Linked DNA regions of Mus musculus. The protein of the gene in region 2 purifies or fractionates together with the protein of the main gene of each other region. This does not show direct contact. Links are inferred from orthologs where the notes say so. Each region holds a gene or a part of one and is shown on either strand. Other genes may lie near its edges.

Evidence for each region.
Region 1: the proteins of Prpf4 (region 2) and Gphn purify together in Homo sapiens (affinity purification with mass spectrometry; 3 studies listed by BioGRID and IntAct, counting the BioPlex papers as one, with this or other methods). This does not show direct contact. The link is inferred for Mus musculus from reciprocal best matches to the Homo sapiens genes PRPF4 and GPHN.
Region 3: the proteins of Prpf4 (region 2) and Tut1 purify together in Homo sapiens (co-immunoprecipitation; 3 studies listed by BioGRID and IntAct, counting the BioPlex papers as one, with this or other methods). This does not show direct contact. The link is inferred for Mus musculus from reciprocal best matches to the Homo sapiens genes PRPF4 and TUT1.

Annotation. Positions count from the first base shown.
Region 1 is NC_000078.6:78,621,645-78,625,296, reverse strand, and holds part of Gphn (gephyrin), read right to left. Parts: intron 1,994-3,652; coding exon 1,874-1,993; intron 1-1,873. UniProt on the Homo sapiens protein: Microtubule-associated protein involved in membrane protein-cytoskeleton interactions. It is thought to anchor the inhibitory glycine receptor (GLYR) to subsynaptic microtubules.
Region 2 is NC_000070.6:62,407,330-62,411,081, reverse strand, and holds the start of Prpf4 (U4/U6 small nuclear ribonucleoprotein Prp4), read right to left. Parts: upstream 2,300-3,752; 5' UTR 2,208-2,299; coding exon 2,181-2,207; intron 1,508-2,180; coding exon 1,330-1,507; intron 1-1,329. UniProt on the Homo sapiens protein: Plays a role in pre-mRNA splicing as component of the U4/U6-U5 tri-snRNP complex that is involved in spliceosome assembly, and as component of the precatalytic spliceosome (spliceosome B complex).
Region 3 is NC_000085.6:8,960,220-8,963,871, forward strand, and holds part of Tut1 (speckle targeted PIP5K1A-regulated poly(A) polymerase), read left to right. Parts: intron 1-2,124; coding exon 2,125-2,603; intron 2,604-3,652. UniProt on the Homo sapiens protein: Poly(A) polymerase that creates the 3'-poly(A) tail of specific pre-mRNAs. Localizes to nuclear speckles together with PIP5K1A and mediates polyadenylation of a select set of mRNAs, such as HMOX1.

The DNA.
Region 1 (3,652 bases), on a different chromosome or scaffold from region 2:
CTGAAAACTTAGGTTTGGTGCCAATAAACAGTACATTCTCTAATTTTCATGGTTTAAAAAAATATCAATTAAACCATTGAATTGTATTTTGTATATAAGATTCTCAAGAATCACATATATATATATACACATATATATGCATATACATGTATATATAAATGATGTACATATATACACACACATGTGATAAATGAAGGTGCCTGTCAACAGCCTCTCTTTTGGTTGCTATGGAGCTCAATATTGTGTCAAGGTTCCCAAATATCTATAGAAATGATGTACAGGTATAGATTCCCAAATACATATAGAAAAGTATAACATGGCTGTAGATTTCTGTAACCTTATAGTAATTATCAATTTTACATTCACAGGTTGTGAATAATATTGTGACACTGGAATTGTGCCTTGTTATCTCATAGTTTGAGGATGCATATGTTCTTCCCTGATGCTAATAAAACTCTGCTTGGGCAGCTTTAAGAGCAGGTCATCTGATCTGTGCCAAAGGTTGAATTTTATATATGAGGAAGATGGAAAAAAAAAAAGAGGAAAATCTCTTTCTGCTTTAAAAAAAAAAAATCTCCAGAACAAGGAAGGTGGTTATCTCTTCCCATGGCTATATTTTATTATTTACTTAATCTACAAGAATATACATTATTTTTTAAATCTCTCCTTCAGAATATAAGATTCCTTAAACTTCACAAAACAGGTATAATTATCAGCCTATAAAACTGTCAAAAATTGTAGTTTTATTCCTAATAGTATGCTTTTAAAAAAGAGGTGTATTTTATGTGTAGGAATGCTTTGCCTGCATGTATATACCACATGTGGGCCTGGTATCCATGAAGCTGAGAAGAGGGTGTTGGATGTCTTGGAAATGGAATTACAATCTGTGTGCTAGGAATCAAACTTTAGTCCTCTGCAAGAGCAGGAAGTACTTTAAACCACTGAACCATCTCCAGCCTGTGCTATTTTTTTAGGGGGTGGTGTGGTCAACTTGACATAAGCAAGAACCACCTGAGAAGAGAAAAAACATCAACTGAGAAAATAAGGCATTTTCTCAATTTAAGATTGATGTGGGGGGTGGGGGGAGCCCAGCTTACTTTGGGTGGTGCCATCCCTGTGCATGTGGAGCAAGCAGACTGAGCAAGCCATGGGAAAGAAGCCAAAAAGCAGCATTCCTCTGTGGTCTCTGCTTCAGTTCCTGCCTTGAGTGCCTGCCCTAACACAGAAGGATTGTGGCCTGTAAGCTGAAAAACCCTTTCCTCTGCAAGCTGCTTCTGCATAGATTTTATCATAGCAATAGAAACGTAACCAGGGCAAGCCACAGTAGTCTGATTTTAAAAATTGGTATTAGTTTTCTTGACAAAATGGCCTATTTAGATCCCATAAAGTATCTCTTATTTGAAACAACGCGGAGGGAATTGACACAAGTTCAATATTTCCAGGCTTTTATTTGATGGCAGAGCTTTTCTCTGAACTGAAAACCAGTGGTGAAAGGGTCATTTGGTTCAAGAACTTGCCCAAAGTCCTTTATATTAAACTCTGATTCCAAGAACACCTTCATCATCTTTATTCGAAGGTAGTAATCTCCATAGCAAAAAGATATGTCAACTGTTAATATCATTGTTTTTATTGTGAAATAATTTCTTTGTTTGCCTGTGAAGATTCTTATGTTAGGCATAGTTCAAATTCTACACTAACAATAGCATAAAAGTTCATCCAATGTCAAAAGATTTTCAATCTTTATGACAGTTATTTACTAGAGACCGACATATTACATTAACACTACCCCCCCCCCCATCCAAGTTAATCTTCTAACACTGTAGAAACTGAGTATGACTTCTAATACTGCCACAGGAACCTGGTGGTGACATACATCATCTGATTCCCTGATGAGTTCAGTATCTTCAACTTGCACTACTGCATCAGCACCGCAGGGGATTGGAGCACCTGTTGTAACCCGCATCACTTGTCCTGGCATTACTGTCTGAGTTGGCTGAAAGTATAAACATAAAAGACAGCTGGTTACTTAGTTGCTTCAAAGGAAAACCTTCAGGGAATATATTATTTTTAGGAAACAAATACTGAAAACTTTTTTTTTTTTTTAGGTATTTTCTTCATTTACATTTCCAGTGCTATCCCAAAAGTTCCCCATACCCTCCCCTCCAACTCCCCTACCCACCCAATCCCACTTCTTGGCCCTAGCTATCTCCTGTACTGAGACTTATAAAGTTTGCACGACCAATGGGACTCTCTTTCCAATGATGGCCGACTAGGCCATCTGCTGATACATATGCAGCTAGATACACGAGCTCCGGGGGGTACTGGTTAGTTCATATAGTTGTTCCACCTATAGGGTTGCAGATCCCTTTAGCTCCTTGGGTACTTTCTCTAGCTCCTCCATTGGGGGCCCTGTGATCCATCCAATAGCTGACTGTGAGCATCCACTTCTGTGTTTGCTAGGCCCCGGCATAGTCTCACATGAGACAGCTATATCAGGGTCCTTTCAGCAAAATCTTGCTAGTGTATGCAATGGTGTCAGCATTTGGAGGCTGATTATGGGATGGATCCCTGGATATGGCAGTCTTTAGATGGTCTATCCTTTTGTCTCAGCTCCAAACTTTGTCTCTGTAACTCCTTCCATGGGTGTTTTGTTCCCAATTCTGAGAAGGGGCAAAGTGTCCACACTTGGGTCTTCGTTCTTCTTGAGTTTCATGTGTTTCGCAAATTGTATCTTATATCTTGGGTATTCTAAATTTCTGGGCTAATATCCACTTATCAGTGAGTACATATCATGTGAGTTCTTTTGTGATTGGGTTATCTCACTCAGGATGATGCACTCCAGGTCCATCCATTTGCCTAGGAATTTCATAAATTCATTCTTTCTAATAGCTGAGTAGTACTCCATTGTGTAAATGTACTATATTTTCTGTATCCATTCTTCTGTTGAGGGGCATCTGGGTTTTTTCCAGCTTCTGGCTATTATAAGTAAGGCTGCTATGAACATAGTGGAGCATGTGTCCTTCTTACCTGTTGGAACATCTTCTGGATATATGCCCAAGAGAGGTATTGCGGGATCCTCCAGTAGTACTATGTCCAATTTTCTGAGAAACCACCAGACTGATTTCCAGAGTGGTTGTACAAGCTTGCAATCCCACCAACAATGGAGGAGTGTTCCTCTTTCTCCACATCCTCGCCAGCATCTGCTGTCACCTGAATTTTTGATCTTAGCCATTTTGACTGGTGCGAGGTGGAATCTCAGGGTTGTTTTGGTTTCATTTCCCTGATGATTAAGGATGCTGAACATTTTTCAGGTGCTTCTCAAGCATTCAGTATTTCTTACGTGAGAATTCTTTGTTTAGCTCTGAGCTCCATTTTTTAAATGGGTTTATATTAGATATTAGTCCCCTATCTGATTTAGGATAGGTAAAGATCCTTTTCCAGTCTGTTGGTGGCCTTTTTGTCTTATTGATGGTGTCTTTTGCCTTACAGAAGCTTTGCAATTTTATGAGGCCCCATTTGTTGATTCTTGATCTTACAGCACAAGCCATTGCTGTTCTATTCAGGAATTTTCCCCCTGTGCCCATATCTTTGAGGCTTTTCCCCACTTTCTCCTCTGTAAGTTTCAGTGTCTCTGGTTTTATGTGGAGTTCCT
Region 2 (3,752 bases):
TTTGTTTTGGTCTTTAAGAGCTGAAAAGTTGTAAGCATATGCAAGAACTGTATCTAATCTATCTTACTTTTTATAGCTTACCATTTTCAATTCTCAGCTTATTAAATGATAGCAAACACATAAACCCAAGTGATGCTTTAAACTGAGGGCAGGAGGGCCAGGCCACCTCTTCCATTTATTTCACTATCTCTTTCTATAGCTTAGAACATTTCTTATTTGGAAAGCCCAACTCCTACCTGCTAAAACAGTACCCCCAGGAGAGCATTCACACACAGTGAGAGGAAATAATGACCAGGAAAAACAGGATTCCTCTGACAACAAGGTAAGTCTTTTTGGATACTATGGCGATTAGTTTTAAAACCCACAACCCCTCGCCCCTCCTAACCCCCAGTGAGACAGGCTTGAAGACATTTAAGAATAGTATATGTGTACAGGGAAAAAGTGTGCACATTTAAATACTTATAATAACTAAGTTAAACTAGGCAGGTAGTGGTTTTTATTCTTTTTTATGCTTTTATTCTCAGCACTCTGGAGACAGGGGCAGGAGAACCTCTGAGTTGGAGGCCAGCCAGCTTGGCCCATGGCTACACTGAGAAACCCTGTCTTGAAAAACAGAAACAAAAAGGAAAACACAAAGAAAAACCCTAGAAAAGTAAAGGAAAGAATTCTATAAACAGTTATAAACCAATGCCAGAACTAGGTTACATCTCCCAAAGACAAATCCACTCAAGAAGTCTACAGAGACCACGAGTCATTCCTGCAAGGAACTGTAGAGAATACAAGAAATCCACTCACTGGATGATGTCAAGCAGGTAAAGTCACAGGCTCAAAGGTGAAAACAGAAGGGTAAGGTTGCACGCGTTTGCAAGTATGTCTTCCCAACATTTCATTCTAAGTAGGTACCACCACATTGACTTTTTTTTTTTTTTTTTTTAGAAAAAGGAAAAACAAGCCAGTAAAAAAACATGGGTTCTGGGGCTCAGTCTCAGGTCCTAATGGTCACAGAGAAAAGCTTTTGGCACCTGAACTAGCTCCCCAGACCAATAGAAGGTTTTGGCCTATAAACCTAATACTATGTGGTTTGGGAAGGTGTTCATCAGAATATTGAATCATCAAAAGTACATGGTGGCGACCAGGAAGGAGGCAGGAGGAGTTTGAGGTCAAAGGTAAGAGACTGTGGGGGGTGGGGGGAGATGGAAATGTATGGCTCAGTGGCAGAACAGTTGCCTAGCATGCAAAAAAAAAAAAAAAAAAACCCGGGTTGGATTCCCAGCACTGTTTAAAAAAGGGTGTGTGTGTGGGGGTAATGACCTGCAATTTGCATCTTACCGGATGTTATATTAATATTTCCTGCTTCAATGCCGGCTTTGAGTCCTTCTTTTCCCAAAATCCCAGACTCTCCTTTGGCCAGGCGTTCCCGCTCTTTCTCTTCCAAGCTTCCATAGTAGATGTGTGGTTTCTTCACAACGGGAGCAACTAAATCGTCAGGCGCTTTGGTTTTGGTTGTCTGTTAAATCAAAGACCCGGACTAAGGTTTAGTTCCAGCAAACCATGCTTCCCAAAAGAATGAAGCTAACGCTGCACTTTCATCTTCTTTCCTCTCAAAACTAGAGGAGAAAGTCGAAACTGACTTTGTGCGAGTTAAGGCTCTTGTTAAGTTTGGCACACAAATACGACCAATCAATTTCTGCCTGAAGTGTCTTGGTTGTTTTGGGGCCCGTTACTTTAATCGACTGGAAAAGCAATCTCCGGTTTTACGAAAATAACTTCTCACTGCTGGGCAGACACTAAAAACAACCTAAACAATCAGGGTGGCTCTAGGTGCACCAAGTCACGATGTGACTGGAATACACATTTCAAATACTTTCAGAGCCGATTACAAGTTGGGAAGCCTCATCATAGTAAGTACGAGTCGGACAGCTTAAGTCAGGACACAACCCGATTCCAAAGCACCGTGTTTTGGAGCAGCCAGAAAGAGTGGTCTCTGCTCAGGACTTAAGTAAGAGCAGTGCAAAGAGAGCTGCAGCACACGAAGACATCAGGAAAAGGCTACTAAGGTCCACACTAGGGTCCCTCAGCTTTCCTCCTCCTCGGCCCAGACCCGTAAGGTAACGGCCCTTTCCCACGGGAACCCCCGGCCTCTCTAGGGCAGGCCTGAGCTTAGATCCAGAGCTCCGTACCGTGGAGGAGGCTCGTGAGGAGGCCATGCCGGGCGGCGGAGACGCGAGGCCCTAGCCAAATCCGCGTTCTACTTTTCAGACCGGGAACCGCGCGCCTAGCAAAGTGGAAGTGCGTCACTGGCCGGAAACGTATCAGAAACGTACTACGTGCGAAGTATCTTGGGAATGGTAGTTGCCAAAGGTCGGCTGGAGTCGAGGGGCGTGGCCTTACAGAGCTACACAACCTCGCGGGAGAAGAGGAGCATGGGAAGAGAGGCGCAGAGCAGCCTGGGAGGTGTAGTTTGGGCTGCGCAGCAATGGAGTCATGGTGGGAGTTGAGGTTCTGGGGAACTGCAGAGGCCTGAAAAGAGGTAGGTTTGCGGATCGCAACCATAATCTGGAACAAAACGAGGGTCTCTGTTATCCTTCGGGAGGCCTTCCGCCATTTCGAAGCTGAGGCCTGTGTTGCCATGGAAATCTCTCCCTAGACTTCTGCAGCCTTGGAGCTGGGAAAGAGGACTGTTGTCCACGACGGAAGTCCTTCGGGGGCCCCTCGTAACTCGGTGGCTACGTAATCAGTTTGGGCTTCAAGAAGATATTAAACTCTAAGACCTTCTAAGGCTAAAATAGAGATGTGGTGGAGGAGCTGCGGCCTAGTTTGTTGTGGGTTTACTTGTCTACAGCCTATTCTTTGTCTGTGTTCTTTGAAATAAAGGGTCCATGAAGGCTCCAGATAAAGAGCATATCAGCAGTAGTAGCTCCAATGAATGTTAGGCCATCAGAGATAAGGTTTTTTTTAAAAAAAAAATCCTTACATGAAAGTTGTGGGGGTTACAAAAATATGCGCGTTTGCCGAGCTGAACAGACTCACTTCCACACTCAAGGCCCTGCCCCGAACAACTCCAATTAGAAGAGCACTTCCTTTTCGAGGACTTACTAATGCCGAGTTACGCGCAACGAGCTTATTCTGTTTTAGTCATCTCAGTCACGGACAAGAGTACAAGCCCGAAAAAAACCAAAAAACATTCTGGTGAGAAAAGGTCGTTCTGGAGCCGTAGTAGTAGAATTAGTAACGTGGCAGGTCGCGAGCCGCCGAGCCGCGCTTTTAACTCGTACTCATTATTGCTCTCTAGTGGTGAGGCTTTCAGAAAGTTCCCTCGCAAGTAGGGAATTATTGTTGTTGTTGTTGTTTTTCTAAGTGTTTCTTCCTTTCCCCCTTGGAGCTGACTTCCATTTCTCTACGTAAGGATCTGGTAGAAAGTAGTATCTGATAGAATAAAGCAGTTTTGAAATGTCACGGGCCAGTGTTTTGATTAGATCACCCCTTGCTGTGCTAAGCCTCCTGAGAGAAGTGTAAATGTTTCCTATACATTGTAGTGTTTTGTTTCGTTCTGGATGCACGCAATAATAATTTCTATGAATGCACACTATAGCAAAACTTTCATGTAGATCACTATCATTTAGCTTTTTATTTTAGTGGTCTAAGTGTAACTTTGTTTTTTTTTTTTTTTTTAAATTATTTATTATATGTAAGTACACTAGCTGTCTTCAGACACTCCAGAAGAGGGCGCCAGATCTTGTTACGGATGGTTG
Region 3 (3,652 bases), on a different chromosome or scaffold from region 2:
GTTTGGTTTTTTGAGACAAGAGTTTCTCTATGTAGGCTGGCCTCAAATTCTGAGATTCAGAGATCTGTATGCCTCTGCCTCCTGAGTGCTGGAATTAAAGGCATGTGCCATCACCATCTGGCCTAATGGGTTTTTGTTTTTGTATTTTTTGAGGCAGGGTCTCACCATGTAGCTATGGCTGCCTTGGAACTTGCTATGTAGACCATGCTGGCCTCCTGGAGACCTTTTATTAGTTATGAAAGCTTGTCCTTAGCTTAGGCTTGTTCCCAACTACCTCTTAGATTAAACTAATCTCCATTCTGCCACGTAGCTTGTTATTTCTTGAGTACTAGCACCTGTTTCTTATTCAGTGTCTGACTGGCAAATCCCTCTTGCTTAATTCTTTCCCAGAGTTCTACTTCTGCCTGGAAGTTCTATCTATTTTCTCTTGCTTTGCTATAGTCCATTGAGCTCTTTATTAAACCAATCAGAAGGTGTTGAAGAGAGTGTGCACAAAATATGATGCAGCCATAAGAATAACAGTATCAAAGTGCAGCTTGTACTCTGTGTGGTACAGAAATCAGCATTTGAATAATACAGAGATAACCTTTCCACAGTGCACAAACATATCATCCCAACACACCACAGCCTCCCCGATTCTGTGGCTCTTACTATCTTTATTCAGTTCCTTCCTTCACAATGTCCACCGAGCCTTAGGTGCAGGAGTGTTCTGTAGATGGGACTGGGCTCCACAATTCTGCATTTTCATTAGCTGTGCTTTTCTGTAGTGATCTCTGTCTATTGTAAAAAAAAGTTTCCTTGATGAGGGGTGAAGTCAGTACTTCCTGTGGTTATAAGCACAAATGTTTAAGATTGTTGTTAGGGGGCTGGAGAGATGGCTCAGAGGTTAAGAGCACTGACTGCTCTCGCATAGGTCCTGAGTTCAATTCCCAGCAGCCACATGGTGGCTCACAACCATCTGTAATGGGATTTGATGCACACTCTACCGTGTACTCATATAAATAAATACAAAAATAATATTTAAAAAATGATTGTTAGGGATTATGCTGGTTTTATAAAGTAGTGGTTGTTGGTTCTCTTCAAGATCCATGACTTCATAGCACCAAGTAGGTAATCTGTTTCCATTCTCAGGCATGGTTATCCTCTGGTTGAGCAGGTGTTAAGTCCAATTAGAAAGCTGCCAGTTACTGTCAAATATGTGTGTCACTACTGCACTCTTAGGGGTATTATGCTATGTTGGTTATTGATGTTGTTCCATAGGCATCGATAGCAGGTTAAGGGTGTTTGTCGCCTTGTTCCTTTGGAAGTTTGACTGATATCTTCTGGTACCATGAATGCTAGTCTTCACAGAGGAAGCATTCAGGTCATTTCCAGCTCAGGGGTTTCTGGGCTCTATTCCTGAAATCCATAATGTCTTCTGCAGACACTGGGTGTTGGGGGGGGCAATTAAGGACAGCAGCAATAGGCTGTATGCTTTAGTAGTCTTTTGGACAGCCTTGATTGTCAGACTAATTTAAAGCATGACTCTAAATCTCTGGGAGGCTGAGGCAGGAGGATTGTGAAAAGTTGGAGGCCATGGGGGTGGAAAGAAGTCTCTGAGAACACCGGCTGCTCTTCCAGAGGACCAAGGATTGGAGTCCCAGCACAGACACTTCCATTTGCAACTGTCCATAATTCCAGTTCCAGGAGTCTGATGCCCTTGCTTGGCCTTCACAGGCATTGCGTGCATGTGGTGCAGACATATATGCAGGCAAAAAAGCGAAGACGTAAAAGGAAAGGGAAAAGTCTTAAGGTCAGTCTGAGCTGTGTGTACACCTTGTTTCTCTTGTTTGTTTGAGACAGGGCTTCTCTATGTAGTCCTAGGTGTCCTAGAACTCACTATGTAGACCATGCTGGCCTCCAACTCACAGAGATCCTTCTGCCTCCTGAATGCTGGGATCAAAGGCATGTACCACCATTGCCTGGCTTCAAAGGACTGTGGAGAATGAGTTACATAAATGAGTTATGTAAGGCTGCAGAGTAAAGCCTGTACATAGAAGGTGAAGGAGGAGGAAGAGGAGGAGGAAGAGGAGGAGGAGGAGGAGGAGGAGGAGGAGGATTCATTCCCTTTTATCTCCATTACAGCCAGACCCAAAGGCTCCAAAGGTTCCAGAGACTTCATCCTTGGACTCAGCCCTTGCTTCTTCCCTGGATCCTCAGGCGCTGGCCTGCACCCCAGCTTCTCCTCTAGACTCACTGTCTCCAACTTCTGTTCAAGAGTCTGAGTCCCTGGACTTTGACACCCCATCTTCTCTGGCACCACAGACACCCGACTCTGCTTTGGGCTCTGACACTGTCACCTCTCCTCAGTCTCTGCCTCCAGTTTCACCACTGCAGGAGGACAGGAAAGAGGGGAAACAGGGGAAAGAGCTAGAATTAGCAGAAGAAGCCTCAAAGGACGAGAAGGAGGAGGCAGCAGCAGTGTTAGAGCTGGTGGGATCTATTCTCCGTGGCTGTGTCCCTGGAGTGTACCGAGTCCAAACTGTGCCCTCTGCCCGGCGTCCTGTGGTCAAGTTCTGTCATCGGCCTTCAGGTCTTCATGGAGATGTATCCCTCAGTAACCGGTACTTTTGTGTGGGGTTGAAGGCTGGCTCTAAGGTCTGGGGTATATGAGGAGGGGGTCCTGATGTGGACGAGCTTATGCCTGCTGAATTTGTTTTTCTTCTTTGGTTCAGTCCTCCTTTCTTCCACGAATGTCACCTCCTACCTGGCTTCCATTTCAGTGTTTTTTTTTCCTTTGGAATACTTTGTGCGTTTGAGTCAGAGTCTTGCTCCATTGTCCAGACTGGCCTCAAGCCTGTGATTCTCCTGCCTTAGCTTCCTAACTCCTGGGGTTACAGGCATGTGCTGCTATGCTTGACTCTGCAGTACTGCTTTTTGTTGTTGGTTTTGTTTTTTTGAGACAGCCTGTGTTGAGACAGGCTAACCTTGAGCTCATAGGCCTTTGCCTCCTCCTTTGGGGTTAAAAGCGTAGGAAAGAGTTCTGTAGCTACAGAAACCTAGGAACTGTTAGGTTAAAAGTAAACAGGGTTTTCCTTCACTATTTTTCCTTCCCTACTCCATGCTTTGTTTCTTTGTATATTAAGAGCTTTGCAACCAAATGCCTTCTCTTGAACCCCATAAAAGGAGGCCACAGATTATAACTGGGCCTCCGAATACTCTCATTCATGTGGCCCGCATATTTCTTTCAGATCTGTATTATCACTTTGCATTGAATAAACTATTCTTGCTACTATGCTTCTTATATTTGTGTCCGCATCTCATCTTGAGTGTAGTCAGAGAATGACGTGTGGGAATCAGTTCTCTTCCTTGTAACATAATTCCTAGGGATTAAACTGAGGGCGTCAGTCTTGGTGGCAGACTCTTACCCACTGAGCCATCTCACTGGTCCTGTGTCTCTGAGGCAGTGTCTCTATATTCCTATTCAATCTCTTGAGTATTGAAATTATAGGCACGTGCTACTACACCTGGCCGTTGAGCAGTCCTATATAAATAAACAACATGTCTTATGAATGGTGACAGTACAGGGTGAGCATTTGGAATGTAGTATTGCCTAAGGTTCAGTGGATACATATTCCCCCCTACCTCATCCCTAGGCTCAGGATACAACACA